3 linked regions of the Diceros bicornis minor genome follow. The protein of the gene in region 3 purifies or fractionates together with the protein of the main gene of each other region. This does not show direct contact. Links are inferred from orthologs where the notes say so. Each region holds a gene or a part of one and is shown on either strand. Other genes may lie near its edges.

Region 1 (9,865 bases), on a different chromosome or scaffold from region 3:
ATTTCGAAGTTCTACGACTATACAGTACAAACACACCGTATTCTTAAATTGATGCAAACGATGCTCATTCGTGCTGTATGAACCTGGTTCTTTATTGTAACACTCACCTCGAGATGTTCTCCCATCCAGAGGGAGAAGGGTTCCGAAGAACCTCCCTTTGCCTTAAACCATCACTTGAGGAATCCCCAGGATACTGTCCCTGATTAAGACCAGCGGGCTGCTCTGTGGATGCAGCAACCTACACAAGTGTAATACGAACATGAGAACAAAGGGTCTGATGCAATCACCTGAAATCAAGCTAAAACGTTATTTTGCTGTGAATGGCTTATGTTGCCCACCCCAACCTCTGAACTTGACAAAATTAAATGATGCAATGTTACGTAAAAAATATTCTGAAATTTGTTCAACACAATTTCAATATATAGACACCAAAAAAAATTCATATTTTTTCCTAGAGTAACTATGCTATAATTTCACTAAAGTCTTCCAATGTAGTTATCACTAGTGAGAAAGCTTCCTGATAATGTTCTATACATCTTATGGTATCAAATTTACTGAATCAAGAAATTAAATTTGACCTACAAGACTTATACATACAACCCGGCCAGCAACCTAAAGGAAAGAATTTCCTATGCTATGCTTAGATGTTTCAGGAAATAGTTGTAATGCAAATTTACAGAGCATCATCACATGAGAATTAACAGTGCACAATCGAATCAATGCTGTAAAGTGAAAAATAAATGATTTTGACTGTCAAACATAAATAAGTCTTTAGAGATTACCTGATAAAGACTGTGGCCTTTTCCTAACCAACTAAATAAATAATCACAATGAAAATTTCCAAAGGAAATACATTCACTTTTTTACTCTTTATAAAAATTAATGGTTCCTTAGAAGAAACTTATTACGTGCCAAATTCAAGAGTGCCAGGCTAGTTCAGGGATCTGGACACACAGCTACGGCAGGTCAAATCATATCCCAGAAGTAGTGTCCCAGAGAACTCTGTTTTCCCACTCCACTATTGCAAGTCTCCTACTATTATAGTAAATCCCCATTGCATCGATAACAGTTTCTAATGCCTGATTCTCACGGGGGAAGAAACAAAATACTACATGATAAAAAGGCTATAAAATCTTAAGAGTTGTATCCAACTTCCTTTATTTCTACCTTGAGGCTCTCAATGACACAGATTGTTACAATCATGAAAAAGCAGACAGACCTTTGTGCTGGTTTCTGGCGTCTTTGAAGGACTCTTCACACTGCACACCAGATGCAAAACATGCCGTTTTTCCTGCTAAAAGTGATAAGGAGGGACTGTAGGACCTGAATTAAACTTGGTAAGTGCTTCAAAACACTCAAAAGTTAATATGTAAGTGATGTACCTTGGGAAGCAAGTCCCCGAGACACTGGTGATCCAACAGCAGCTTCCCAGAGTGAATTAACCTCTGGTCCTCTGGGCACTGATGGAAAGAAAGAGGGGCAGAGGTAAGCATTCAGCCCCCACAGGTTCCCAAACAGAGGAAATTGCTTTAGACAAATAATTTGAATATGTGTGGTTTTTTCCAGCATCACAGGAAAACATTTTTTCAAAGGCCCCACAGACAACACTTTTATTTAGAAAGTGCTTAACTTTAAACTGATCTCTAACACGCAAATAAATTTAGGATGCAAATCATCTCCAGTCCACAGAACCTATGGCAACCTTGACTTCTTAACGCTCAGGGAAATTGCTTTCTGCCACTAAAAACACAGATTTTATTTGGGGCTCTTATAGTGACTAACTTCAAAACCTTGTATGGTCTCAGAGAAAACTCAAAGTCCTCCCAAGGTCAGCTTTCACCAAAACCACCCCGCACTGTCCCAAGACAACACGAAGCAATTCTAAACTTAAGGCCTCAAAGAGACTTTTCCTGACAAAGAAATGCAGTTAGAGAGGAAATGGCGTGTGGGTGACATTTCACACAACAACCCTGGGAGATTTCGTGTCCTTATTTTAAGGGGGGAAAGTCTGAAACTGACTTGTGCAAGGTCACCTGCTGCTAAGAGTCAAGATTCCAAGCCCTCTTCTCCCTCCGGTGATTTAACACCACAGGGGCACCACACGCCTTTATACAAATCTCACTTTTCAAATCCATTTATTTATTTATTTTGTGTGCGTGAGGAAGATTAGCCCTGAGCTAATCTTTTTGCGGAGGAAGATTGGCCCTGGGCTAACATCTGTGCCCATCTTCCTCTACTTTATACGGAATGCCACCACAGCATGGCTTGACAAGTGGTGTGTTGGTCTGAGCCCAGGATCTGAACCTGCGAACCCCGGGCCACAGAAGAGGAGTGTGTGAACTTAACCACTACACCACCAGGCCAGCCCCCTAAAATCTATTTTTAATTCCTTAAAAACTGTACTTAAAAATAATGGCCTCAAAGTCAGTGCACAAGAGATCACCACCAAGTTGTCAACCCACTCTTGCCAGAATAACCAATTCTGCAAAATTTAGAATAAAGCTGCTCCTTCCAAATAGCTTAAGTTTATAAAGAAAGCTATTTAAAAGAAACAAAACAATAACTGTGTCTATTTATCTGCATAAACCAGGATTTTTTGACACTGTGCAACTACAACAAACTACAGAAACATATTAGGTGCTGTGTTCAGCATTGTTCTCACTGACTTTATAGGTAAAGGGTCTACACATGAATTTGTGCATTGCTATTGCAGAGCTGGGGTCCTGCATGACATTCAAGATTCCATACCAGGAAAGGTTGGAAAACCACAGCTGCCTGTGATTTCAACTGTTTTCCCTGTTAAAGGCCTGAATTGACACTGTGTCTTTACCCACGGGGCTGATTTGAAAAAAATTAAGCATGTTAAGCAAACTACTATTATAAAGTAAGGCTTGTCACATCAGAAAACAAATGATGAGTGCGCTCCAGTCCTAACTTTCACACAAATTTACCTGACAGACCTTTTATTACAACTGTGAGTCTTCAGACCTAATAGGAGTGATGCTTCTCACCCAAGGAAGCCCTTAAGGAAAGCTCTCCTCCAAAACACTGCCTTTTACCAAATGATGCAACCAGACTACACCCGCCAACTTGTGTACCTAACAGCCATTCTCACCGCAACACGGCCACCTGGTTTCTTGGAAGCTGCTATGGTGAAACTGCAAATAACGCCCAGGAGAATGCTCAAGGAATGGAAGCTTATTAAATAAATAAGCAAATTTCCAAAGAACAACTCAGAAGGAAAACTGGCTTCTACACTCTTGACAGTATGGGAAAAAAACCCTGACCCATGAGCTACCACAAATAGCAACTCTTCAGATAAGAAGGGACAGTTTCACAATCTTTTCCTGCCCTGATGCCCTCTCCTGTTTGATGGAGAGAGACCCACACTTGCGGGCAGTAAAGAACACTGCTGACACTTACATAATATTAGAGTAGAAAGTAAATACAGGAAGGTCCAGCTCAGGCCTCCATCACGTGGTGGGGAGAGGGCGGTGCTAAGGGAGATGTTGACAGATGTGTCAACCAAAACAAAGCCAGGAGTCTCCGCAATTGAGGGAGCCAAGTCTTCAAGCCAGACTCAAGAAGACTCCTTCCGCCGGTTTCCCTTCTAAATCCGTCTTCACCAGAAAGTGCACCAGACTCTTCCCTGGGACTAAGCAAAGGCTGCGGAGTCCAGCGCGACGGGGAGGGGCCCAGGGCGGAAGGTGGACACGGAGGGGAAGAGCCACGTCTCGCTCCTGGGTGTGGGACCTTAAGTACACACTGCCTGGGCGTTCATCATGTTTCTCTAGCCACTGGCCCGGGGCTGGCACCTGCCCTCCCCTCTCCGCACTGAGACGCTACATTCGGAAAACTCATTTCACAGCATGCATGTTTTCTTAGCTCTGCCCACGGGATGCGATCCTAATGAGGAACACCCAGTCGCCCTGTCGTTTTGGGGAAACTGAGGCTTGGAAGGTGAAATGACTCACCCAAGGGCAAACTGCTGTTTCAGCGGCTGGGCTAAGGCTGGGAGCCAGATCGAGGGGACAGGCAGGGGTTTGGGGGAGGTGGGCAGGGGTGTGACAGCCCTAGGGGTTTGGCGACACGGGAGGCGAGGTGACAGGGGAAGGCAGCCCATCAGGAAGGCGCGGCGATGGCAGCCTAGGATGAGGAAGTGACAGCCCCTGGGCCAAGAGAGGAGGCGCCTAGGGCTGTAAGGCAGGAAGGCGATGACCACAGCCCTGGGGGAGGTGACCTGGGAAGTACCAGCGGTCGGGGGAAGGCCGGCGAAGGCAGAGGCTATAGGGTCTGGGAGGCGGACGCTGCATCCCTAGGGGAACGCGAGGAGGGCTGGAGGGATGACAGCGGGGCTCGGGGGGTCCCTCTCACCGGGCGCTCGGGGTAGACGCGGCTCAGATGAGCCTTGAGGCGGCCCACGCTCCAGCTGCGGTCGCCGCTCAGCTCCAAGTCGCGGTGGCGCTGGTTGGGGCTCTTGACCAGGAGCGTGACTGGCTCGGGCTCGGGCTCCAGCTCCATGTCTGCTGCGCTGTGCGCTCGGCTGCGCTCCCAGATGCCAGGCAGGCAGGCAGGCGGCGTCCCAGGCGCCAAAACCCCCACAACGACAGTTCACGTCTCTTGGGCGCGCACCCCCGCCTCGGGAGCCCTTTATAGGCACCCCGCGCCCGCCCCCTGAGGAGCGAACGCTCTGTGGCTGCCGCCCATTGGCTGAGGCTCAGGCCACTTCCCCAACGTGGCCCAATCGGCGCCCGGATCCGTGGGCGGAGGGGCGGGGCGAGCACGTGGGCGCGGGCTGATGCAACCCGCCGCCGGTGCGTCACCCGGGGTCGCGGCTGGTGCCCGGGAGCCCGGGTTCGGTAGCCATGTTGGGGTGTTCTGCGGCCCGCGCCGGAGGAAGGGGATCGCTTCCGACCTCGGCTTGCTCAAGGCGCCTTAGGGAAGGCCAGCTTGGCCCACTGCCTGTTTGGCAGCCTCTGAAAATTGTTTCCTCACAAAGCAGCACCCCCGCCCCTTTTGATCCCAGGCACCGAGGCCCACTTCCCCTTTCCCTCCCCCGGTGGCCCGGACGGCAGGGCCCACAGCCTGCCCTACAGGGGAGGCCTCCCCACGCTACCCCAGCTTCGGCTCACAGAATGGTTGGGCAGACCTCATTTGCAAGTCCACCTGGAAGGGCGTCCACGGTGCGCCTTGGAAGGGCCAAGAAGAAGCAGGGAGGCTTCTTCCGGGGCTGAGGACGGAGGCATCCGAACCACTGTTGCCAACATTTACGGCCTCGGACTTGAACGTCACATCCTCAAGTGTGAGACATCACCCTTGTGAATGGCGAGCACGCCACAGTCCGGCCTACTCTGGGAGACACTTGAAAAGAGCCTCACTGTGGGACACTGACAGGGATCCTTTACATTGGGGCTGAGACTGGGAGAGCAGGGTTCTCCGTGTTCTAAAATGTGACCACAAAGGCCTCTCTGATGTTGACACTCCCTTCCTCTCCTCTCTAGGAAGAAACTCTTGAAAAACAAAACTGCGTTGCGCCGGCCCCATCCTTGTTCCAGTCCCGTTGGGACATCTGCTTCTCCAGGTGTGTCGGCAGCTTGGCCAGGGCAGGAGGGTAACAGCAGGAGCGTGGTCTGGTTGGTGGGTGTATTAGTGTGCTAGGGCTGCCGTAACAGAGTGCCACAAACTGGGTGACTTAAAAGACAGAAATTTGTCTCCCAGTTCTAGACACTGGAAGTCTGAGATCAAAGTGTTGGGCGGGGTTGGTTCCTTCTGAGGGCTGTAAAGGCGAATCTGTTCCATGCCTCTCTCCCAGCTTCTGGTGGTTTGCTGGCAATCTTCGGCATTCCTTGGTGTGTAGCTGTATCACACCATCCTTGCCTTCATGGTCACGTGGCGTTCTCCCGGTGTTAGTGCCTTCACATCGTTTTCCCTCTATGCATGTCTGTCTCCGTGTCCCAATTTCCCCCCTTTTTATAAGGACACCAGTCATTTTGGATTAGGATCCACTCTAATGACCTCATCTTAGTTTCATCATCTGCAAAGACCCCACTTCCAAATAATGGTCACGTTCATAGACGCTGGGAGGTTAGGACTTCAGCAACATCTTTTTGGAGGACACATTTCAATCCATAACCGTCGGCCTTAACGTAACATAGAACATGGGGTGGTTTCCTTTTCAGCTGGCTTTATACTAAGAAAGGAGGTAGAAGGCTTTGCAGATAAATTGTCTCTGTGCTCAGCTTTCTGTGGTTGGTTTTTGTCTGCTGAGGAAGGCTCTGTCGCTTTTCATCAGGGTGGCTTCATGGGTGTGGGACCTGGGCAGTCACAGGGGGTCCCACTCTTGGTTTAATGCTCTGCTGTTACCGTCTGAAAATTCTTAGTAAATTTTGAACAAGAATCCTTGCATTTTCATTTTGAACTGGGTCCCACAAATTGTGTAGCTGGTCCTGCTTTTCATACACCAGGATGGAAGAAAATGACTGATTATGATCTGGTAGCCTTGCTACTAGCTAGAAGCTGATCAGTGGAGCCAGGCCAGATAAAAGCAGCAGAGGCCTTAGGGAGGCAGCCAGGCAGGAGATAACACCTTCACTGGGGAATTAAGTACGCCACATAGCATAGTTTTCTCCAGCCTGCAGTGACAAGCATTAGCGCCCTTTAAGACAGCACATCCATTTCCACTCAGTAGGAAGAAAGTATAGGGGTGTGGTTTTTTTTCCCTAGGGAAAAGGCAATCCCATTTCTGTGATTCCCTCTTGAGTTATTTCCCAATGAAATAGCTCTTTTTAAAAAAAAAAAAAAACAGATATGCATATATTTCAGAGTGGAATTCAACCTTCACATACATTTTTAAATCTCTATTGAGGTAACATGCATACAGATAAATACATATATCATAAGGGTACAGTTCAATGACTTTTAACTGAATACATCCATGGAACCAGCACCCAGATCAAGAAACAGAACATTACCAGGGGGTGGGGGCAAAAGGGGTAAAGGGGCACATACGTATGGTGATGGGTGAAAACTAGACTATTGGTGGTGATCTACACAGAAACTGAAATTTAATGATGTACTCTTGAAATTTACACAATGTTATAAGCCAATATGTTCTCAATAAAGTAATTAAAAAACAAAAAACAAAAAAACCAGAACATTACCAACATCCCAGAAGCCACTCTTGTGCCTTTTCCAGATGCTACCCTCCAAGGGTAACCAATATCCCTATATTTAACTTTATATAAATGAGTTATACTATGTGTTTATTGTCTGGCTTCTTTTGCTCAACATTATGTTTGTGAGATCCATCCATATTGTTGCATGTCGTTGAAGGTCGTTCATTCTTGTTGCTGTATGGTACCCCATTGTGTCAGATAGCTCCTTTTAAACGACTTTGGTGATTCTGCTTACAGCACATTTAGAAAAATTAAATGCAAGTCAACAACATGCCAGAAATAGAAAGATAAACACGGAGTGACCCTGCTTTCAGTGACCTTACAAATATAACGGGGGTGATAAGACAGCACAAAAATACAGAAATAAAAGACAACCCAACAGTCTCACACATTTCTGAAGGACTTCTGATTACACTGAGGGTTTACATAGAGGCAGGAGGAGAAGTGGGGGAGAGACAGAGAAAAGTTGATGGAAGAGGTGAATTTGAGCTGAACTTTGAAGGGTGGGTGGGATTTGAGTAAAAAGAGTAATGGCAGTAATTATGTATTAAGCCCAATAGGGCATCTGTACGCAGAATTTGCATGGGCAAGCATAGCTATGTGGTTGAACTCATGGGCCCAGAGCAAGACTGTGTTTCCAAACCCAGCTTTTGCAGCTTATGACCTGTGTGACCTGAGGCAAGTGACTTAACCTCTCTGTCTCTGATTTTCCTCATCTGTAAAAAAGGAATAATAGTAATAGTAGCTATTTGATAGGGTGGTTGTGAGGCTTAAATAACATAACATTGCTAATGGTCTTGGGACAGGCCCGGATACTTAATAAGTGCTAAATAAATTTTAGCCATTAATATTTAAGGAACTGCAATGAATCCCCTCCAGTGGTTTCCTAACCCGCCTGTGAAACAGAATCACCCAAGGAACTCTTTTATTTTTTAAAGTGAAGGTTCCTATGACACCAAGTATTGGTGAAGACATGGAGCAATTGGAACTCTCATATGTGGCTGGTAGGAGTGTAAAATGGTACAGCCCCTGTGAAAATCAGTCTGGCATTTTCTCATAAAGTTAAACACACATCTATCCTACAAGCCAGCCATTGTACTCTTAGAGATTTACCCAAAAGACATGAAAGACTTGCACAAGAATGTTCATGGCAGCTTTACTCATGATAGCGGCAAACACTGGGAACAGTCCAGGTGTCCATCACAAGAAGACTAGATAAACAAACGATAGTGTATCTGCACAATGGAATACTACTCAGTAATAAAAAGGAATGAACTACCGATACGCACAGCAACATGAATGCACCTCAGACACATGCTGAGTGAAAAAAAATCAGACAAAAGAAGTACATATTATATGATTCCATTCATATGAAACTCTAGAGTACACAAAACAAATCTATGCCTGTGGATGAAGGGCGCCTGACTTGAAAGAGGCATGGCAACGGTGTGCGGAAGTCAGCTGGTACTGGTTCACAGAACTGGTTGTGAGTTTCTCTTCCCAACTCTGCTATCAGTGACATCACATTGATAGCTTGAAACTGGCCATGGTGGGAACAATTACACCACAGAGATCAGCAAATGCTATAAAGCAGAGCTTTTTTCCTCCAGGAAGTCAGTAGTTAAATTTTTACCAACACACCACTGGGCATGAAGGAAATTTCTGGGGTGGTGAAGTGTTCTCTGTCTTGGTAGGATGTAGGTTACACAGGCATAGGCATTGTCAAAATGGATCAAGCAGTACACTTAAGATTTGTGCATTTCACTGCGTATAGATTATACCTCAACTAAATATGTAAAAAAAAATAGGATGGGTGTCTGGGTCCCGTTTCAGGCCTACTAAATGGCCTGATGCATCGAAGTGGGGACTAGTTCAAGGGTCCGGTCTGGGAACCACTGGCAAAATGTGACAGTAAGTACAGGGTTTATTTTTAAATAATAATGATAAGTGAGCAAGAGGTAAGATGGGAAAGAATTTTGGGGACCACCTGAGGAAGGACTTGGAGTGGTTACCCTTGGGAGTTTGTGAGCAGTGGAGGATTTTGAGCAGTAGAAGAGACATGATCCGCGTCAGTATGGATCCACATCGTTGTGGAGGCAGGTTTGATGGGGAGAAACTTGGAGCCAGGAGGCCCGACTGGTTCATTCAAGGGGAAATGTGGATTAGCACTAGGATGGGCCAAAAAAAGAAAAGTGAAAAAAAAAGGAAAAAAAAAAACACACTGCAGAAAGACAGCAGGAGGGAAAGGAGTTTCGTAACAAAGATTGTTCATGAATAGAGATAATGGCTAACACTGTGGGGTGCTTTCCACAGGCCAGCCACACAGCTTTAAGAACCTTCATGACTTTATTCATTTAATCCTCACAGCAACCTTATGAAGTAGAATGCTATTATTATTTCCATCTTACAGCTGGGGAAACTAAGGCACAGAGCGTTAAGTAACTTGCACCAGTCAAAGAGCTAGTAACTCTTTGAAATCATTATTTTTTAATTAACTGGTACTGAGGTTTAATTTACATACAGTAACATACATGGATCTCAAGTGTACAGTTCAAAGAGTTTTGGCAGGTAGCTTCGCCTGTGTAACGCACACCCCTAATAAGATGAAGAACATTCCCATCACCCCAAAAGGCTTCCTGGTGCCCCTTCCCAGTCAACCCGCATGCTCCCACCACTCCTGGTCCCAGGCG
Region 2 (10,723 bases), on a different chromosome or scaffold from region 3:
GGGCAGACCCTGGGCAAGAAAAGACACTGCAGGCCAGGAGGGAGGCATCTGTGACCTGCCAGATGGGGAGGGACGTTTCCTTCAGGAAGCGCAAACAGCAAGTGCAAAAGCCCGGGGGTGGGGATGCATCCGGCAAATCCCAGAAACAGAAGACCCATGTGGCACAAAACAGTAAACAAGGAAAGGCAGGAGGAAGAAGCAGATCACAGAGGAAGGCAGGGACCAGACCTGCTTTCTTTTAGGACCTTCTAGTGCAATGGGACACCATGCTGGTGACAGTTAAATACAGAAAGACTCGATCTGTGTACTTTTCAAAAAGATTAACTCATCTGAGTGTCGTGTATCTGGGGGTTCTGATACAACTCTCTCTAGTTTAAGGTATATCTGACAATGTTCACATCGAGGAAAAAAGAGCTTTTTCAGAAATCTGGCTCCTGGTGCAGAATGGACCCTGGGGCTGTGCAGAAGCAGAGGCCTGGGCGGCGGCTGCCAGGGAACCCAGAGGGAGATGAGGCGGCAGCCACGGAGGGGGAGCGCAGGGCTGGGCTGAGTGAGATGTTCTGGAAGCAGAGCAGACAGGAAAGGCGATGGACGGCCCAGCAGGCCCCCAGGGCCTGGGGCTTGAGCAACCCCAGGCTGGTCCCTGTGGGGATGGGGAAGGCTGGGAGGAGGACCTGTTCTGAAGTCTTAGACATCTAGAGAGCACTATAACAAAGGCATCAAGCAAGTCAGCCATGGATGAGCGCGGCACCCACAGGTCTGGGCTGGTGACACAGATTTGGGGTCACCAGACTGAAAGCCCCAAGACAAGATGCGGGAAGGACCAAGTGCAGATAATGAACAGAAAGGTTTGCAGCTTAGGCCCTCTAACATCTGGAGGGGTGAGCAGGAGGAGCCACCACAAGAGCCCGAGAGGTAGGGGAAAAGCAGTGGACAACGGCTCCCAGACCAGGAAAGGCAGGCCTTCACAGAGGACCCAGAGGACCGTCACACCTGGGGATACTGCCCCTCTGCCTAGGATCCTTCAAGGACAGGGTGGAGCCTTGCTGAGCAGAGTGGTGCCAGAGCCAACAGGGGCACAGCGGTCCTGGGGGCTGCCAGGCAACACTCTAGACATTCATGAAGCACCACCTGTATGCAGAGCCAAGCCACAGCCAGAGCCACAAGACCCAGAAGGAAAAGCAGAGGATGCAGCGGCTGGACGAGACACACACTCCACCAGCTGCCCAGCTGCTCCAGACCTCTGGCGTCTTCCTCTGTGGGGGGCGACACACCTGCACCTCACCGGGTGGTGGGGAGGACTACACGAAGCTGGGTAGGCCCAGGGCATTAGGTCGCAGGAAGCAGCGGGGGGCTAAGTCTCACTTTCCAAATACAGACAGACTCCGACATGCCAGGCCAGGCCAGGCCAGGCTTGCTCTCTGGGGCTGCGGCACCCACAGGGGAGGGGCTGTGCCTGCACGGGCTCCGCCCCCAGAGCCGTACCTGCAAAAGCTGAGGGTTCTCCTGGCCCAGCTGCTGGAGCAGGGCCGGCAGCAGTGCCGGGTTCTGCTGAATCACCTGCCGCATGTTCTGGAATTGCGGCTGGTCTCGCAGGAACTCCAGGGGGTTCTCTCCCGCTGGCAGGAACAAGGTGTGTGGTCAGATACCACACTGGACTCCCAGAAGCACGGGGGTGGGGGGTGGGGGGGAATCAGATGTCTCGACAGCAGACAGCCCCCCACGAACGGCTCCCAGTCCACTCACCTGTTTCTGTGGTCGGCGGCTCAGACACCTGGCTCTCCTGGACAGAACCGGGTTCTGGCTCAGGGCTCCCAGGAATTCCCTGTCAGGGGTCCCGTTTAGTTCCAACACACAGACCGCCCACCATCTCCCTCCTGCGTGCTCAGCCCTGGCAGGAGACAGGTGAGGCCTGGGCCCTCCCTCCACTTCCCTCCCTCCCCCACCCGCTGCTCATGTGCAGCCTCCCGCAGGAAGCCTTCCTGGCTGGAACCACGACCCAAATACTTTTGGGGGCAGGTTTTGCCTCCCTGACCACCCCCCAGAGCATTGAAGCCCACGTCCTCCCTCGAGGCCTCCCCAGGAAGCAGCAGCCCCCCTCACCGTGAGCAGATACTCCACGGCCCGGTGGGGGTTGTTGTAGCTGGCTCTCAGGGCGGCCACGACACGCTCCCGCTCATAGCCCATGGACATGATCTCCGTCAGCATCGTCTCATACTCTGAGCCCGTCACTGTGGAGGGAGCGGCGAGGCCTGGGTCACCAAGGAGAGAGGACAGCTCCCAGGCCCTCCCACACCCATACAGGGCCCAGCTGATGGCTCGGGCGCCCAGTCACTCTGCCCTGGGGACCACCCACCCACCTAGCGTGGAGGCCGCGTCTTCCTCTCGCCCGCTGCTACCTGAAGAGGGAACAGAGCTGCAAATTCAAGAAAGAGAAATCGGACCCTGGCTTCTGGCTGCTTGCCCTCCCCCCAGGTGTGTGGGATCACGTAAGTGGGCGCTGGAACATGCTGGGAGAACAGGGCCCAAGCTGGGACTGCCGCTCCTTGCCTTACCCTGACACGGACTCCGGGGACGTCGTGGGGACTGATTCCTCCGATGGGCTCTTGTCCTCTCTGTCGGTGGGTGGGGGTTGGGACATGCCTGAGGCAGGGGCCGGAGGGAAGGTTGTGGAGGACTCTGGGGCAGCAGTGGGTGAGGCCTCTGGGGGTACTGAAGTGCTTGGGCTAGTTTTGGCCTGTGACACCCAGAAAAAGAGAGCAGACATCAGTATCCCTATCTAGCGCCCACACCCCGCCCCGTCTCAGCCCCGCCTGTTCACGGCTAATCTCTCCTGGGCACACACAGCTCTCTGCCAGCTCCCCAGCTAATCCACCCACCCTTCCAACGAGCACACTGCACCCACCTTGGTCACCATGACGACCACAAAATTCTTCTCATCGATGCGATAGTCCCTAATGGGGACATCATCGCTCAAGATCTTGCCAGCATAGATGAGTTTCTGTCCGGCCACAGGGAAGGCATCACGACCCTTCTCAGCTTCTATCTTTTCCTTTAGCACTTTCACCTGCAGGGACGGGGACAGTCATTGCAAACCCCAAGAGTCTCTCTCCCTTCCTAGCTTGGGGGGGAGAGGCTGCAGGCCCTGACGGCAGAGGCTACACTTCGTAGTCAAGCACGCTGGATTTGAGTTTGTTCCTTCATCTCACCACTCAGCAGGGTATTTACTGAGCACTCGTTATGGATCAGGGGCTGTTTCAGGCACTGAGAAGCACAGCAGGGAACAGAACTTCACGCAAGTCCCTGCGCTCATGGAGGTGACACTAATGTGGGGAGATGAAAAAAACAAATATATATCTCAGATGGCGAAAAGTATGATGAAAAGTCTATCAAAATACAGGGGCAGATGGAAGGGTTCCTCATTCCACACTACTGACAACGGTGTTTTTACTGAATGCATCGTAAGGTGATAGCGCTTTCATAAACGTATACACATCACGCTTTTAGAGCCTCATAATAACTGTATGACATGGACATCATTAGCCTCATTTTACAGTATTTGAGAAAACAAGGCACAGAGAGGTTAAGTAACTTGCTGCAAGTCAAACAGTTGGTCGGGACAAAAAAAAAAAAGAGTGTTTCCTCTCCCACCAAAAGCGGACTTCAACGTCTCCCTCATGACGTAGTTGTGCAAAAAGCACCAGGGACATAGTCAGACACTTGACATACTTGTGACGTCCTAAGTCTCTTCCAGCTAAAAAGGCAACATAACGTTCAGACCAGGGGCTCTCACACGAGCAGGAGCGAATTTGCATCCCAGCTCTGCCATAACTTGCTGTCCGCGACTATGGCACAGTGCCTCAACCCCTAGATTTCCGCATCTGCAAATTAGGGCGAGTCAGAGGCCCAAATGACAAGCCTGTTTTGCACATTTAGTAAGATAATAACACTACAGCACTCTGCGACTGGAAAAGAATAAACGGCCAGCAAACACAGACCACTGAAACGCACACGATTTATTGTCATTATCGTCGTCGTTGCCGTCACCACTCGGCATCTCCTGGTCACTACTCCCAGGTTCGGCCACCAGCGTCCCGAGGAGACGCCTGCAAAGCTGGGAGCTCGGAGACCCGGTCCTGGAGAGCGCGGCGGGGCCGGGAATCTGAGCCTGCGGCTCCCGCGCCCCGTGAGGGCGCTGACACTGGAGCCGGAGCCTGGCGGGCGCCCGGGGGTGGGGCCTCGCCCGGAGCCCAGCCCCTGAGCACCGCCCAAGTGGAGTCGCCAGGGGTTGGGCTAGGCTGGGCACCATCGGGGGGTCCCGGAAAGTCAGGCAGGGTGGGCAGGGTCCGGCCCGCGCCGACCTCCCCGCCCCTCCCGTCGGGATCCCGGCCTCCCCGCCCCCACCCCACGCCCAGCACCCGTCGCTCCCCCCCCCAGGCTCCGGCCCGGCTCGCACCGTCTCGTCAGGCTCCATGCGGATCTTGAAGGTCTGCTGCTGCAGCGTTTTGAGCGTGATGGTGACGGCCATGGCGGGGCCCGAGCGACGCGGCAGCCCCGGGATCCTCACACAACATGCAACTCACGCCGCCGCCATCTTAGCGCCCAGCCGCGCCGCACGCCTACCGCTTCCGGGGCAAGCGGTGCGCGCGCCGACCACCAGAGCACGTGACCTGCGCGCGCCCCCTTGGCCTCCTTAGGCATGCGCACGAGAGCGCCCTCGGGCCAGGCATGCGCAGATTAGAGACCGCTCCGCGGGAGGGGAGGGGGCTTCTCGCTCAGCGCGCACACCCATCAGGTGGCTTCTTGCGAGTGACGCCATGCCCGTTAGCGGTGACGTCATGCGGCCACAAAATGGCTCCGGGGTCCCCACTTTCACGCCCTTATTAGCTTGTTATTTGTGGATAACGTTGAACAAAATTTTTCATGTACTTGCTCTAGATATTTGTATTTCTTCCATAAAATCCTTGTTCGTGTTTTTTTGCTGCTCCCAAATGAGTTTTATTCTGGTCTGGCCACCCTGACAGGAACCCTGTCAAGCACTGAAAAGTGGAAATTCTAAGGAACAAGTCTGGCCGTGGAAGCAAGGACATCGGGCCATTTGGTGGCGTCGTTCATTCCTGAGGGACAGCTGGATTTGGGGAAGGAACCTGCAGTTCTAGTTCCTGGGTCTCCCAGTTCTCTGCTGTCCCACCCCACTATCTCCAGTCTGATCCCCAAAGTATTTAAGAAAGATGTTAACTTTCAAGGTCTCCCTACATTGAATACAGAATTCCCTCAACTTGCCCTGGATGCACAACTCTGCAGGCTTCCCAGAGGGCTGGGGCTGGGCCACAGGACAGAAACTTGAAGGAGGCCCATCCAAGGAACAAGGAATTAAAGTGTTGGCTGGCCAAAGGTGAAGACGGGGCTTGGGGGACTGGATGGAGGTGAGAGTGGGCTTATCTCACAGCTGGTTGGGGGGGAGGGGCCCTATCCTGCTCTGACCCTTGCCTGCCTCCAAACTTCTTCTCAGAGTTTCCATTCAAGCTGGGCACCAGGCAGTCACGTGATACCTCACCCACTGCCCCACTGTAACCAGGTCCTGCTGCCTCTCCCTTCACTGCATGCCCTGGCACAGAAGCTTCTACCAGAATAGGCCAGGCTCAGCTGACGGCTTCTTACCTCTCTCCTGCAACAAGGGACATCAGCTTCCAACCACTCACAGGCCTTCAGTGGCAGCCTTGTGGACCTTAGGCCAGCCTCAGGGGCCCAGACACCACTCTGCTATCTCTGCACCCCCCCTCAGGGCCACCTTTCCCTTCAAGAGGTTCAAATCCAAACTTCACCACTGAAGACCACGGACAAGCTATATACTGTCTCTGAGCCGACCTCCTTGATTATAAAGGAATTAATAGCTTTTACCACTGGCTGGTATTAAGAAAATCTTTAAAATTGTCCAATTGCTCTACCCAGTCTTGCCTTACCTTGATAGGTAAGAAATATGTATGGTTCAGTAACAGGGACAGGATGAGATGGTGGCTCAGGTGTGGGTTCATACCCGTGCCCCACCTCTTACCAGACTGTGGACCTCAGTCTCCTCAAACTGAATTGGTACTAGAACCGAAACTCATCACTTTGGTGCAAGGACTCTGAGTTAATACGTGGAATATCTGTAATGGCATTTAAAAGTTACTCTTCTCCCACTAGTCTGGGGTTGTGGGGGTAAACAAGGGCCCCTCTAACCTTATGGGACACTCAGCCAACTTTAGTGGCTGAAAAATGAGTCTTACTCAAGAGTCACCTCCCCCAGAAGGAGACACAGGAGGAAGACACAAAACTTAATTTAATAGAAATTCTGTTTGTAGTTCTTACATTCTCAGTGTGAACCGAGCTGGAACCTGCTGCCCCACCCAGAAGTGGCCCAGTCCTGGGAGCAGGGGAGAAAGGGAGGGGGTGGGGAGGTCAGAGCTCACGCCCTAGAGCTCAGGGCCTAGGAGCCCCATTCTTGCTCAGTGCTGGGCGACTGGGGACGCCACCCTCTTCTCCTGCCCTGCTCTGGGAGCCAGGACCGAGAGCAGATGGAATCTCGGGCCTGGGGCTTCTCCTCCACACCCCTCATGCCCCCAGATTGGAAAGGAACTAAGGGATCTGGGGAAAGAAGGGACCAGAAGGCGGCAAAGATGTCAATCAAGAAAGATGAGAACCCTGGGGTGAAGATAAAGGAGCACGAGACAAAACACCAGGTTAAAAAAAAAAAAAAAAAAAAAAAAAGCGGGAACAACAAAACTAAAATCCACCCCAAATTGGAACCCGCCTGGAAAAAAATGAAAGTTCTCCAGTCTCATAGAGACATTATTTGGCGTGGCCGGCTCTGCGGCAGGAGCGCTCAGGCCTCAGTCCAGCCCCGGAGGCGGTGGCACGGCCCCTACAGCTCATCCTTGGCCTGGCCAGCGGCAGCGTCTTCCTCCTCATCCTCCTCCTTGTCGTCCTCATCGTCCTCGTCCTCCTCCTTGTCGTCCTCATCTTCCTTGTCCGCCTCCTCCTCCTCCTTACGCTTCTTGTCTTCCTCCTCCTCCTTTAGCCTCTGCTCCTCGTCCTGCTTGTCCTTCATCTGCTTTTCCGCCGCCTGCGTGCAGACCACACGCTCAGGGCCTGGCCCCCGCGTGCCAGCCCTGCCCACCCCCAGCCCAGGACCGGACCCTGGGCCCACCTTCGTGACGCCCCACGTCTCGTTGCCAAACTCCTCTGCATACGCCTCGTCGTTGGTGATGAGAAAGTTGTCAAAGATGGTGCCAGACTTGACCTGGGGGGACAGGGGGAGAGAGGGAGGGGTGGTCAGAGGGGGCACCCCATGGTCCTGGCCTTGGACAGGGCTCCTACCCGCGTCCCCATAACCACTACACAACGCTGCAGTCTAAGTGCGGTTAAAACACACATAACCTGGGTTCGAACCCCAGCTCCTCCATTTCCTGCCTGTATGACCTCGGGCTGGTCACTTCCTTGCACCTCAGTTTCTTCCTCTGTAAGATGGGGTCTCACTCCTTGTTCAAGCATTGTTCCAGTTCCTACTATGTGCCATTCTAGGCACAAAAGGTGTATCAGTAAAAAAGAAACAAAAGTTTAGTCCCATGAAGCTAATTTTCTAATGGAGTTATCTAATCACCTTCTAGGTTGTTGGCACCAGTTAACAGGGTTGATCTGCATAAAGGTACTAGGAGAAGTACCTGGCACGTAAACAGAACCTGTAAGTGGCTGCTGTGACAACTCCATAGAGACAGAGCAAGAAATTCTTCAGAAAGAGCACCACCTTGGGGTCAGACTTGCCTAGGGTTCAATGCTACCCCTGTCCCTTTTCTCCTGCGTGACTCGGAGCACCTGAAGTCCCCTAGGAGTCCTCCTCTTCCCTCTATGTCTCACCTGCCAGAGATCCAGGCCCAGTACAGCAAAGTTTTCATAGGCGTAGATGTTGCTATCTGGAGAGTATTCGGGGTTGTCGATCTCTGGGTGGATCCACGTGCCCTTGTAATCTGGGTTGTCGATCTGCCGGGGCTTCCACTCGCCCTGCAGAGGGAGAAGGGAACCGGACGGTGAGCGGGACAGTGCACTCCTCACTGTGTGCTCCCGGCTGCTCCGAGCCCCAGACTCACCTTGTACTCTGGGTTCTGGATCACTGGTGGTTCCCATTCTCCGTCCATCTCTTCGTCCCAGTCCTCTGGCTTCTTAGCATCGGGATCAGGAATGTGCTCAGGCTTGTCCCAGTCCTGAGGGCACACGAGGAGGTCAGAGTTGGCCCCACTCTCCTCCACACCCTCCACGGTGGGGGGCCCTGCCCAAGCACCAACCTCAGGCTTGGAATCTGTGGGGTCATCAATCTTAGCCCGTTCGTCCCAGTCTTCGGGCTTCGCAGCATTGGGATCCTTTATTTTCTTGGGGGGCAGGAAGTCCCAATCGTCCTCCAAGGAGCCCGACTCCACCTGGCTGTTGTCAATCTTCACCTCATAGGTGTTATCTGGCCGCACGATCAGTGTGTACAGGTGTGTGAATTCATCGTCCTGGAGAGGGCGGGAGGTGAGTGGCCCCGCCCACCAGGCTGGCCTCTGAGCCTCCCCCTGGCAGCCCTCTGTCACCACCCCCAGGCACACCTTGCAACGGATGTCCTTGTTGATGAGCACGTTCTTGCCCTTGTAGTTGAAGATGACATGAACCTTCTTAGTGCCAGGGCCACAGATGTCCGGGCCTAGGTGACAAGCAGGTTCAGTTCAAGCTAGAGGCTGCCCACCATTGTGAGCCCCTCCACCCCTCTTTACAAAAAGAAGACAAGATTCAGACTCTGACTCTCTCTAACCGGCTGTGGGTGGAGCCTTAAGGAAAAAAAAAAAAATCAGTACTCCAGAACTCGATATCCTTATTTGTAAAACTGGGAAATGCCTACACAAGACCACACGAGTTAAGTCTTACACTGACAACAGCAATGCAACAAACCACTCCTGTGACTATCCTCCCAGCTTCCCCTCCAACGAAAAGCCTATTTTAAGCTTTGCTAAGCTCTCAAGACCACCTTTCACGGGCTATGAGGAACTCACGGGGTCTCACTCTCCCTTTAACTAATCAAAGGTCAGCCCCGGGGCGGGGCCCCTCACCAAACATGATGTTGTATTCAGAGTCTCCATGCATGTCCGTCTGGTCCAAACTATCCGGAAACAGCTTCACGTAGCCGCCCCCACAATCGATGTTCTGCTCGTGTTTCACAGTGAACTGCACCACCAGCGTCTGGCCCTTATTGCTGAAGGGTTCAAATCTAGCCGACAGGGCGTAAAAGCGGGCATCCTGGCTCGTCTGCAGCCCTAGCAGAAGACGGCAGTGAGGTCACGGCTCGGCCCCAAACCCCGGGGACCCTAAGGACTGCAGATACAGGCGACTCCCCCTTCCTCCACCTACCCTGCTCCTAGAACTTCCTCCAGGAAGTTCTGCTGGATCTGAGCACCCACTCGCAGGCTCTTACCTTTATCTTTCTCCTGGTCACCGTAGAACTTGCCGGAACTGAGGACGAATTTACCGAAATCCGACTTGTGTTTGGACTCGATCCAGCGCTCGGCCCACCCGTCTGGGGGATCAGAGGACCCGGTCAGTGCGGCCGTGCTGATCCCTCCCACCAAACCTTTCCCAGGAACCACAAACTGCAGGGGGGCAGGAAAGGAGATTCTCCCCTCCCAGTGCCCCCACGCCAACCTCGAGTTTGACACCTCCAGTGACTTAAGAGATCCTCGGGCGAACCCCAACTCCCGCGGCGGGAGGCCGCTGCACCCTCCACGCTCCCCAGGGACGCAGAAGGAAGAACAGCCTGCGGCTCTAGTTCCCCGGAGCCCCGTGTTGGCCCTCTGAGCAGTAATTACAGGCGACAACGCAGCTCTGGGCTGGTGGGCCGGCCGCGTCGTTGCGGCGGCCTCGAGGCGGCCCTAGGCGTTACCTCCGTCCAAAAACTGCTCCTTGAAGTAGATGGCGGGTTCGGCGGCGACCAGGCCCAGAAGGCCGAGCAGCAGCGGCGCGGGCAGCAGCATGGCGGGCCGAGGGGGCGGCGGCGCGCGGGCCCTTTAAGTCGCTCCTCCGGCAGCAGCTCTGCAGTAGGGGCGGACGCTGCTACCGGCCGCGCGCTTTTATACCCGACCGCCCCTCAAAGCAACCTGGCCCGGCCTCTTGGCCCGCCCTCCACGCCTTATCATTGGCCTGCGGCCCCGGCCCTGCCTTCCCATTCGGCCGTTCTCGGCTCAGCAAGTTAGGCTGTGCCTCGGAACGCTGGGTTCCCAGATGGCCGATTTCTATTGGCCGCACCACTAGCCAATGACGGTCGACCACGCGTTGTGGGGGACGCCCACCGGTGGGGTGGGGAGCCTCGAGCCCCTCAGACCCCATGGGTCATGTGACCAGACCTCGGCCCAACCCCGCCCTCGCCCGGGAGCTTAGCTCCGGCTCTGGGCGTTTAAAGAAACCGCGCGAGCGCAGGTGTCGCCGTGCAGGACCGGGACCTTGTCCCCGCCCCGCCCCGTCCCATGCCCTCTGCGGGGAGGGGTGGGCAAGATTTTCCCAACCTCTTTCTACCCTGCATTTGGGGCACTCCCCCTCCGACTCTCTCTCTCTCTCTTTTCTTTCTCTCGCTCTGTTTGCTCCCGCCCAGGACGGGCAGAGGGCACAAGAGCTCAGGGGCTGGGGCCCTGGGGCCTCACTTCACCGTGGCGCCGCAGCCTTG
Region 3 (10,541 bases):
CCAGATTTATCCCCTTTTCCATTTTTTTCTCAACTTCTGTGTTACCAGATTTTCTCTCTTTGATTACTCCTGTATATTTTGACTGTTGTTACACCATACATTAAGTTCTTGCCTACATGTGGCAAGTCTATGTGTGTGACTATGTATTCCAACTGGCAACACAATCCTATAAACTTCTACAATAATGTGTTACTAATTTATTAATTTTAATTGGAAAAAAACTGTACTTACTTATTTCATTGATGTTGCTCTTTCTGAGCAGCATTGTCAGTACTAAAGACTACAATGAGGTTCGTTTCCACTGCGCTCTACTTAAAGAACTACAAAAGGAGGGCTATTTGATTACCTTTTGAGAATTAAATTGTAGAATCCACACATCATTAATCAGAGAAAAGAGATGCAAAATCAACTGAGGAGAAATAATGACTCTCAGCCCCCTAAAGCAGAAGTATACTAAGACCTGATTGGCTGTATTAGAATCTTAAGAAAGAATGAGGGAATCTGAAGGGGCTGAAGAATTTGGTCAGCCACAAAAGCACAGGAAAGGAGGGTCACTGATGTAAACATTGGCAGTATCCAATGGATAAAGGTGTCTTAAGCCGTTAAACCTCTAGTATTTCTAATCCCATGAGCAAGACTATCTCTGTTGGGAGATGGATATACAGCACTAGCATGGATTTAATGCCAATAAACTTTTGGTTTATGATTTTATGAATCTCAGTTTACCTAACAACCATCTTACTACACCCCGTCACACATCTTTCAGATGATTTTGCCTGTGTCTTCTCTGATCAATGATGTGCTGGCCTACAATTTACACTCAAAGGGCAATCAAAGATCCCTCATTTTCTTGTTCTAATTTTTATTTGGCTTTCCATTTAGCTTTGTAAAGGGAAAATGTGCTTAATGCATAGACTTGAGTATTTCCAGTAGATGTGAAAGTGCTATTTCTCACTGAAAATTAATAAATTGATGTTCTGGTGTCTATCACAATCTCATCTGCTTTTTCACTTTCTTGAGTCAGTCTATAAGGGCCTTAACCATTCTGGACGCTGACAAGAGTGAGTCTTTGGACTTGCAAAGCAGATGACCAAAGCCAGCAAGGCAGCTGTTAAATCAGCGATCTTCAAACATTTTTGCTTATGTACTTCCATAACAGAATTTTGAGCCACTGCATACCCCATGACACATATTTAAGCTGACATCTCAAGTTTGTCATCATATATTTAAATAATTGCATAAATGTAATTTCTGAAGTATTATGAATATTGACATTTTGAAATAAACTGTATATCACTCTCTTAAATATATCCAACAGAATCTACATACTATAGCAATTTGAGATCCACCATCATTTGTTTTTAAAATACATTAACAGACTCTTCTTTAATAATTGGATAATTTATAATTTCTCTTTTTCCTTTGATGTATATTTCCATTTATTATCACCACAGAATTTTTCTCCTAATTTTATATTTTTTAATATTAAAAAGACTTTCATTGATCACCCTATTATACTTTCCTACAATAAAAATTATATAAACTAAAATTAATTTTAAGGGTTAAGAAATTTTTCTGTATTAACTTATCATTACAATTACTGTTAGTACACAATTGATCAAAATAATATAAATATATCACCAACTTTGATAAATATTAAATATAAAGAGGTAAAATTTAATTGGAAATTCATTTGAGGGCTTTCTGATTAGTTTATTTATCCAAACAAGAATATTACTCATTGCTAGCAAGTCTTTTCCTTCTATGTGTTTTTATAAATATGAGCACTAAAATATATAATAAGTAAACGAGCAGATAGGAATGGAAGGACTTTGTTATAGTAATTTCCTTTTATCTTTGAGTTCCTTGCAAATAATATGCCAAAAATCACATAATGATCCATCTTCAAAAATTATTTTAATGATCTATCATCTGAAAATTCAATTATGTCCTCCTTCAATTTTGTCCAAGGCAAAGAATTGGAAATCACAGACTTGCAAAATGATTTATTACCTAGTCATTAGACTCATTCAGTTTCTCAACATGGACACCAATATATATTTCAAATTGTTCCTTTTTTGACTCAAGGTTTTTACACCCAGAGGCAATGAAACGTAGAAAAATCTTGAATGTGTGACAGAAGTATGCCTTTATTTTGTAAAGTGGGAAAAGGTCAATTGCAAAAGGGGATGCCTTGACCTTAGGGATATTTTCTGGCAGATCAATTTTAAGAAAGAAGATATATGGATATCAGCTATCTAGAAATTGAGTCCCTTTAAACTATTTTTATCATCCTACTGTTTGAAAAGAATTTGTGTAGACAAACGCAAGTTTGAAGATTTGCCTTAGATAATACTGCTATCACTTCTGTATCTACTGTCACAACTGATTTTTACCATTAACAATGGATATTACCTTTGCAAAAATCTGAATTTTCCTAACTTTAGTATCTTTGTTTTACCCTCCACCATCTACAGACCACAAGACTTTTCCTGTAAACATTGCATTCTCCTTTGATTTGTACTTAGGTATTTTCAATGTCTGATGGTTTGGACTACAACATCACAATTCACCAACAGATGCCATCTGTAGATGCCAATCTGAGGATTTCAGGACATATAAAAGTAAAAACCAGTTGTCTTACTTATCTAATACAGAGATTTGCCAATGAAAGCAGTCACCTTGGAAAGAGATTTGTTTTACAATTCAAGTACAGTTTAACTCCTTTTATTTCTCTGTTGCCATTGGAGATTCCCAAGTATCTTCTTTCTTTTTTCTGATTTTCTCCACTGACACAGGAGTCTTGGGAATCCACCTGTAAATACATGTGGAGGAAGTGTCCCCTCCCACTGCTACCAGGTGTATTTCTGTTGGTATTCTGATTTGCATCTTGGAATCAGTCTTTACATACAACGTTTTCAATGGTGACACACCCTCATTTGACTATAATGTAGCTAACTTCAGCTTTTAACCATGTTGTAAATTAAATAGACTTCATAGAGCAGTCCTGGAATCTTAACCTCTGCTTTATGTAATTATTTGTATGTTTATATAATTGTTTCATCTCAGAGCATTTTTAATGCCTACAATATCCCCTTAACATTCTATCCTTAAGGAGATTAAGTCTTGATAGGGAGATGTTGGTCAAAGGGTACAAACTTCTAGTTAACAAGATGAATAAGTTCCGGGTATCTAATGTACAGCATGGTGATTATAGTTAATAATACTGTATTATATACTTGAAACTTGCTAAGAGAGTAGATCTTAAATGTTCTCACTACAAAAAAGAAAAGGTAATTATGTGAATGACGCAGTTATTAGTTAATGCCCCCATGGTAATCATTTTTCAGAATATGTGTGTCAAATCAATGAGTTGTACACCTTAAACTTACACAATGTTGTATGTCAATTATATCTCAATAAATCTGGGTGTGAGGGAGAAAACAACAATGGCCAAAATAACACTAAATCTCTAATATTGTCTACTGAGCCCAAACTTTGGTCTCCCCCATACGGAGACCCTCTTTGACAAAGTCTTTCAGTTTCTCAGAAATTACCCTTCTACGGAGGGACTCCAGGATGATTGCTATTTATTCTTAATTCTGCTCTCTAATAAAGAATGTAAAGTAGGAAAAAAAGAAATATGCTTTTGGGAGACTTCTAGAAGAGGGTGAGTGTGCTTTTGCCCCTGTGCTGTGTTCTTTGGTGAGGGTTGTAAGAGAATCACCAAACTAATAATGGGACATCTATTTGACTTGCTTCTTCAAATAACTTAGATTTATGTAACAAATTTTATTTTTTCTCTCTGTTGATTCACTAATTTTTGCTTTTATTATTTTGTAGGCTGCACCCGGCTTCCTTCTTTTCTGTTGTCTTCTTTATTTGAATGCCTAATTCATTTATTTTCACTTTTTGTTATTTGGTATTTAAGGTCTTTGAGTGTATAAATTTGACTCTGAGTTCATTCACATAGTATTTGGTAAATCAAGTATCATTAAACTGGAGCTTGATAAGAATGTAGATTCCTGAGCACCGCTTATTTTGGTAGGTTTGGAGTGGGCCCTAGAAATCTGTATTTATAACAAGATCCTCAAACCACATGTAGGGAAATCTCGTCATAATTTTTGATGTATATGTTCTCATTATCATTATTTTTCTAAATTCACTCTAATAAGAACTTTGATTTACACTTTGTCCCAAAACTATTTAATTCTGTTTTAATTTTCAAGTGGTTGAGTTTTTCGTTTACACTTTCATTATTAATATCTAGTTTTGTTCTATTAAGATCAAAGAAGATGATGTGATATTTTCTTAATTTTTTAAGAAAAATAAAAAATATACAACAGTATTATAACAAATACACATATCTCTACTACCTAGAATTAACTATTGCTATTTTGCTATACTTGCTGACGTTTTAAAGATGAAATACATTTTTACAGATTTAATCCAATTTCCTTTTAATCACTATCATATGTCCTATTCCATATTCTCTTACTCATGGGTGCAAGTTTAGCATGAATCGTTCTAGTATATTTCCAATAGCTTCACATACATATGAATGCATCTATAAACACCAGGGTGTTGTGCTAATTAATTAGATTTTTGGGATCTATACATAATATATTTAGATCTAGTTCATTCCTTTATCTTCTGTATTCTATTAATCATATTAATCATACTATATTAATCCATTCCTCTATTGATAGACATCACATACCAGTATTTTTTTTCTTATCTTGAGACTTATTAATGTACTTATGGCCTAAGGACTTGCAAATGCTGTTAAATGCTGGCTGGATACTAAGGAGAAAAAGTATTTTCTGTATGGTATAAACCAGAGTTAGAAATTTATACATAAATTTGAAATTATTTGTTCTATTATTCACATGCTACATCTTTATTTCTCCTACTTAATCTGTAACTAAATTAGGTAAATATGTTAATGTCTGCCACTACTATTGTGTGCCTGTCAATTTCTACCTAGAACCTCCCCCCAAAATACCTTGTGATCTTTTAAAAGTTATAAATGCAGTGCATACTTATAAAAGCCATCAGAAAATTTAAAATTTTATTAAAAATAAGAAAGGACTAGTTATTCATAATTTCAGCAATAAGTGATAACCACCATTAACATACTGGTGTATAGCATTCCAGATTTCTTTTTACACATGCACTCAAAGACAGTTTATATATACAAACTGTTTAAAAAATAGTTTCAAAATAAAAATATATTTGTTGTATTTTTTGGTATTGAAACATACAGGCTTGTATAATTTATAACTATACAGAAATATATAAAGCTGAAAGTGAAAGTATTCTGTGATTTCCCTATAACTACTGTTTATGTGATGTATACCTTTAAAGGAACTTGATATCATATAAATTAACCTCCCATTTTTAATCATACTGCATATTATCTTATTGTATGTTAACATCATATTTCACTAATTCTGTGTAAACAGAAATTGATTATCTTTTAAAATAATGTTTTTAATTGTTGCAGTGTATATACATTATATATATATTTTTGCATCCTTATCCAACTATTTTCATAGACGAGGTCTCTAAATGAGGCATTTCTAAACAAAAGTGGAAATATTTAAAATGTTGGTATATATCTTCAAATTGCCTTATAACAACTTGCACTTCAATTGGCATGAGAGTACATTTTTTCTGCTCTCTGTTGAAGATAATGTTTACCATTATTTTTCATCTTTGCCATATTCTTGCCAATATGATAAGGCAGAAGTAAAATCTCATTGTTTTAATTTGAATTTCTTTGATTACTAGTGAGCTTAATCATCCTTTTATATGCCCAGTGGCCATTTGCACTTCTTTTGTAACATGCACGCTCCTCCCAGTCTTCTCCCCGTCCTGCATCGGGAATGTTAATCTTTTCCTTTTTGCTTTGTCAGAATTCTTTATTTTTCATCTTTTACATAGGGTTGGTTCGATCCAGGCTTTCATCCTTTCACTGCCTTATGGACTGAAAATATATGTATATTCTCCCTTGGTCTTTTAATGTCCTTTACAGAAGCTGGCTCCCTTTCCTCTATCCCTCCCTCCTTCTCTCTCTTTTCTCTTTTCTTCTCTCTTTGCTTCTTCCTCTCTTCGTTTCTCTCTCTCTCTCTTTTTTCAGTACACAAGTTTTTAATTTTGACTGAGTCGAATCTATCATTCCGGGCCTGGCACCGCGTCAGCAGAGGGGGGCGGGGAGGTGAGCGCGAAACTGGGGGAGGGGAAGGGGCGGGGAGGAGCCGGCGGAGCGGCTGCAGGAGTTGCTGGGAGTGCGCGCGGTGGGATCACAAGCCGGCGGCGGAGGCCCAGAGACGCGAGCGAGGGGACCTCGGCCGGCGGCCTACACAGATCCCTCTCTCCACTGGAGGACCAGGGAACCGCAGTCTTCATCACAGAGGTACCGTGCTCCGCGCTCCCCGCCCGGCCCTGCCCAGCCTGCTGTGGCGGCGCCTGCTTCCTTCCTCCTTCCCTCGCTCTCTCTCTTGCCCGCCCGCGCCTTCCCTGTCTGCCTGCGTCACCGCGGCCGCCATGGCTGAGAACGGCGAGAGCAGCGGTCCCCCGCGCCCCTCCCGTGGCCCTGCTGCAGCCCAAGGCCCTGCTTCTGCTCCGGCCGAGCCCAAAATCATCAAAGTCACTGTGAAGACCCCCAAAGAGAAAGAGGAGTTCGCGGTGCCCGAGAATAGCTCAGTTCAACAGTTTAAGGAAGCGATTTCGAAACGCTTCAAATCCCAAACCGATCAGCTAGTGCTGATTTTTGCCGGAAAAATCTTAAAAGATCAAGATACCTTGATCCAGCACGGCATCCATGATGGACTGACTGTTCACCTTGTCATCAAAAGCCAGAACCGACCTCAGGCCCAGTCCACACAGCCTAGTAATGCCGCGGGAACTAATACTACCTCCGCGTCGACTCCCAGGAATAACTCTACACCTATTTCCACAAATAGCAACCCGTTTGGTTTGGGGAGCTTGGGAGGACTTGCAGGCCTTAGCAGCCTGGGCTTGAGCTCCACCAACTTCTCTGAGCTCCAGAACCAGATGCAGCAGCAGCTTCTGTCCAGCCCTGAGATGATGATACAAATCATGGAAAATCCCTTTGTTCAGAGCATGCTTTCGAATCCCGATCTAATGAGGCAGCTCATTATGGCCAATCCACAGATGCAACAATTGATTCAGAGAAACCCAGAAATCAGTCACCTGCTCAACAACCCAGATATAATGAGGCAGACCCTGGAAATCGCCAGGAATCCAGCCATGATGCAAGAGATGATGAGAAATCAGGACCTGGCTCTCAGCAATCTCGAAAGCATCCCAGGTGGCTACAATGCCTTACGGCGCATGTACACTGACATTCAAGAACCCATGCTGAATGCCGCACAAGAGCAGTTTGGGGGTAATCCGTTTGCCTCGGTGGGGAGCAGTTCTTCCTCTGGAGAAGGCACGCAGCCTTCTCGCACAGAAAATCGAGATCCACTACCCAATCCATGGGCGCCACCACCGGCTACCCAGAGTTCTGCAACCACCAGCACAACGATGAGCAGTGGCAGTGGCAGTGGGTCTGGCAGTAGCTCCACCGGTGCTACCGGGAACACCGTGGCTGCAGCCAATTATGTCGCCAGCATCTTCAGTACCCCAGGAATGCAGAGCTTGCTGCAACAGATAACTGAAAACCCCCAGCTGATCCAGAATATGCTGTCTGCGCCCTACATGAGAAGCATGATGCAGTCGCTGAGCCAGAATCCAGATTTGGCTGCACAGATGATGCTGAGTAGCCCAGTGTTCACTGCAAATCCTCAGCTGCAGGAGCAGATGCGTCCACAGCTCCCGGCTTTCCTGCAGCAGATGCAGAATCCAGACACACTCTCAGCTATGTCAAACCCAAGAGCAATGCAGGCTTTAATGCAGATCCAGCAGGGGCTACAAACTTTAGCCACTGAAGCGCCTGGCCTCATTCCAAGCTTCACTCCAGGTGTGGGGGTGGGGGTTCTGGGAACTGCTATAGGCCCTGTAGGCCCAGTCACACCCATAGGCCCCATAGGCCCCATAGTCCCGTTTACCCCCATAGGCCCTATTGGGCCCATAGGACCCACTGGCCCTGCAGGTCCCCCTGGCTCCACTGGCTCCAGCGGCCCCCCTGGGCCCACCATATCTAGTTCTGCACCCCGTGAGACCACAAGCCCAACATCAGAATCTGGACCCAACCAGCAGTTCATTCAGCAAATGGTGCAGGCTCTGGCTGGAGTAAATCCTCCACAGCTGCCGAATCCAGAAGTCAGATTTCAGCAACAACTGGAACAGCTCAACGCAATGGGGTTCTTAAACCGTGAAGCAAACTTGCAGGCTCTAATAGCAACAGGAGGCGACATCAATGCAGCCATTGAGAGGCTGCTGGGCTCCCAGCCATCTTAATCACATTTCTGTACCTTGAAAAAATGTATCTTATTTTTGATAATGGCTCTTAAATCTTTAAACACACAAAAAAATTGTGCTTTACTTTCATTTTGATTCTTTTACATCTGTCTAGTTATGAATCTAATATGCATTTTAAGATGGAATCCATCCCTCCCTCTCTCTCTCCCTCCCTCTTTGTTTCTTTCCCTCCCTCCTTCCTTCTTTGTTTCCTTCCTTCCTTCCCTCCCTCCCTCCTTCCCTCCCTCTTTGTTTCCTTCCTTCCTTCCCTCCTTCCTTTTTCATTCCTTCTCTGTTTTGATGGTGGGAATCAATGCTGTTTCACTCAAAGGTGTTGCATGCAAACACTTCTCTTTATTCTGCATTTATTGTGATTTTTGGAAACAGGTATCAACCTTCACAGTTGGGTGAACAAGTTTTGTCCTACAGATGTCCAGTTTCTTTGCATTTTAAACATTAGCCTATGATAGTAATTTAATGTAGAATGAAAATAATTAAAAGCAAAAGCAAATTATTTGAAGCTCTCTAATTTGTGGTACAATATTGCTTATCGTGACTTTGGCATGTATTTTTGCTAGCAAAATGCTGTAAGATTTATACCATTCTTTGATCTTTTTTGCTATTTGTACACAGTACAGTAAGCACAATTGGAACTGTACATCTAGAAATATTACAACAGAATCTCTGAGCAGAATATGTGTAACCAAATTCAGAAAAAATATAAGAAATATTTCTGGAGCTAGGTATGTCTCACAATTTTGTAGAATCTTACAGCATCTTTGATAAACTTCTCAGTGAAAATGTTGGCTAGGCAAGTTCAGTTAAAATATAGTAGAAATGTTTATCCTGATTATTTCTAAATATACATTTAATTGTACAGAAAACTTAAAGTGTGACATTGCGTCAACATTTGCAGATTGAATGTATATGACCTTAATCTTTGTGCAGCCCGAAGGATCAGTGTAGTAATGCCAGGAAAGTGCTTTTTACCTAAGACTTCTGCTGAGCTTCTCCCATAAAAAGACCCTAATACACATTTTGATTTGTAATTGGAAATGTAACTTTCACTGAAAGTGTTATGTGATGTTTGCATTACTTTTAACTGCTGCGTATAAAGGAAACTGTATGTTTTGACTCTATCAGTTATTTCTCTTGTGCACAGGGAAAAATGCATTAAAATGACAAAAAATAAAAAAATTAAAAATGGATAAATCTTTTCCTTTTTTCCTTCTGGCCGTAGGATCATGTTTAGAAGGATTGCCCCACCCCAAGTTTTATATAAATTTTATCCTATATCTCTCTTATTTTAATGGTTTTGTTAAAAAAAAAGGTTTTTTTGCCCTATCTGGAATTATTTTGATGTATGGATTTAGGTATTCTAACTTTTTTTTTTCCCAAAGGGTTAACCGGTTGTTAGCCGGTTTTTGTCTCATTGTCCACCACCCCCATTTGAAATGTCATACACATATACACTTTCTTCTGTGTTTGAATTCTCTTGAGTACCACTGAACATTGTAGCCCCAGTACACCAGCCTATAGTTATTGAGTTAGAAATATGATTTCATATCTGTTAGGGCAGATCCTCCTATTGATCATTTTTATTTTTGTTTTTCACAATTTTCTGATAATTCTGACATGTTTATTTTACCAGATGAACTTTACAGTTAATAGGTTTCCCCTGCAAAATAAATTGGGAATTTGGTTGGGATTGTCTTCAATTAATATGATGGTGAAAACTACGAATGCAATGCTTTCCAGAAACATGATATGTTGCCTCATTTTTGAAAAGGTTTTACATCCTTCAAGAGAGTTTTGTTTATTTAAGTCCTGTATAATTTGTGATAAATGTATTCCTAGGGAATACAGACATACAGGAAACAATACTGCGATTGGGAGCTCTTAATTCACTGTGTTACGTATGTGGTCACTTTTGCTATATAGGGGAAAAATGTGCTTTCATAGATTAATTTTAAATTGGCAATTTACTGAAATCATTAATTTCTGAGATATTCAGTTGATCCTTTGAGTTTTTCCTGGTAAGCAATAATATCAATGATAAGTTATAATATGTTCTCCTTCTTTTCAAAATTTATAACATAGTTTCTGACTGC

What was found. The genes of interacting proteins can lie anywhere in the genome.
Region 1: the proteins of UBQLN2 (region 3) and HERPUD1 purify together in Homo sapiens (affinity purification with mass spectrometry; 3 studies listed by BioGRID, with this or other methods). This does not show direct contact. The link is inferred for Diceros bicornis minor from reciprocal best matches to the Homo sapiens genes UBQLN2 and HERPUD1.
Region 2: the proteins of UBQLN2 (region 3) and RAD23A purify together in Homo sapiens (affinity purification with mass spectrometry; 3 studies listed by BioGRID and IntAct, with this or other methods). This does not show direct contact. The link is inferred for Diceros bicornis minor from reciprocal best matches to the Homo sapiens genes UBQLN2 and RAD23A.

Annotation. Positions count from the first base shown.
Region 1 is NC_080771.1:10,448,545-10,458,409, reverse strand, and holds the start of HERPUD1 (homocysteine-responsive endoplasmic reticulum-resident ubiquitin-like domain member 1 protein), read right to left. Parts: upstream 4,618-9,865; 5' UTR 4,522-4,617; coding exon 4,375-4,521; intron 1,461-4,374; coding exon 1,383-1,460; intron 1,295-1,382; coding exon 1,220-1,294; intron 239-1,219; coding exon 108-238; intron 1-107. UniProt on the Homo sapiens protein: Component of the endoplasmic reticulum quality control (ERQC) system also called ER-associated degradation (ERAD) involved in ubiquitin-dependent degradation of misfolded endoplasmic reticulum proteins.
Region 2 is NC_080769.1:4,459,786-4,470,508, forward strand, and holds the start of RAD23A (UV excision repair protein RAD23 homolog A), read right to left. Parts: upstream 4,618-10,723; 5' UTR 4,529-4,617; coding exon 4,457-4,528; intron 3,068-4,456; coding exon 2,906-3,067; intron 2,738-2,905; coding exon 2,556-2,737; intron 2,417-2,555; coding exon 2,361-2,416; intron 2,232-2,360; coding exon 2,104-2,231; intron 1,826-2,103; coding exon 1,747-1,825; intron 1,620-1,746; coding exon 1,486-1,619; intron 1-1,485. Other genes in the region: CALR (calreticulin), read right to left, coding at 6,905-7,105, 7,190-7,282, 7,897-8,040, 8,127-8,240, 8,322-8,531, 8,622-8,716, 9,120-9,323, 9,482-9,583 and 1 more. UniProt on the Homo sapiens protein: Multiubiquitin chain receptor involved in modulation of proteasomal degradation. Binds to 'Lys-48'-linked polyubiquitin chains in a length-dependent manner and with a lower affinity to 'Lys-63'-linked polyubiquitin chains.
Region 3 is NC_080781.1:48,326,022-48,336,562, forward strand, and holds UBQLN2 (ubiquilin-2), read left to right. Parts: upstream 1-6,275; 5' UTR 6,276-6,549; coding exon 6,550-8,430; 3' UTR 8,431-9,746; downstream 9,747-10,541. UniProt on the Homo sapiens protein: Plays an important role in the regulation of different protein degradation mechanisms and pathways including ubiquitin-proteasome system (UPS), autophagy and the endoplasmic reticulum-associated protein degradation (ERAD) pathway.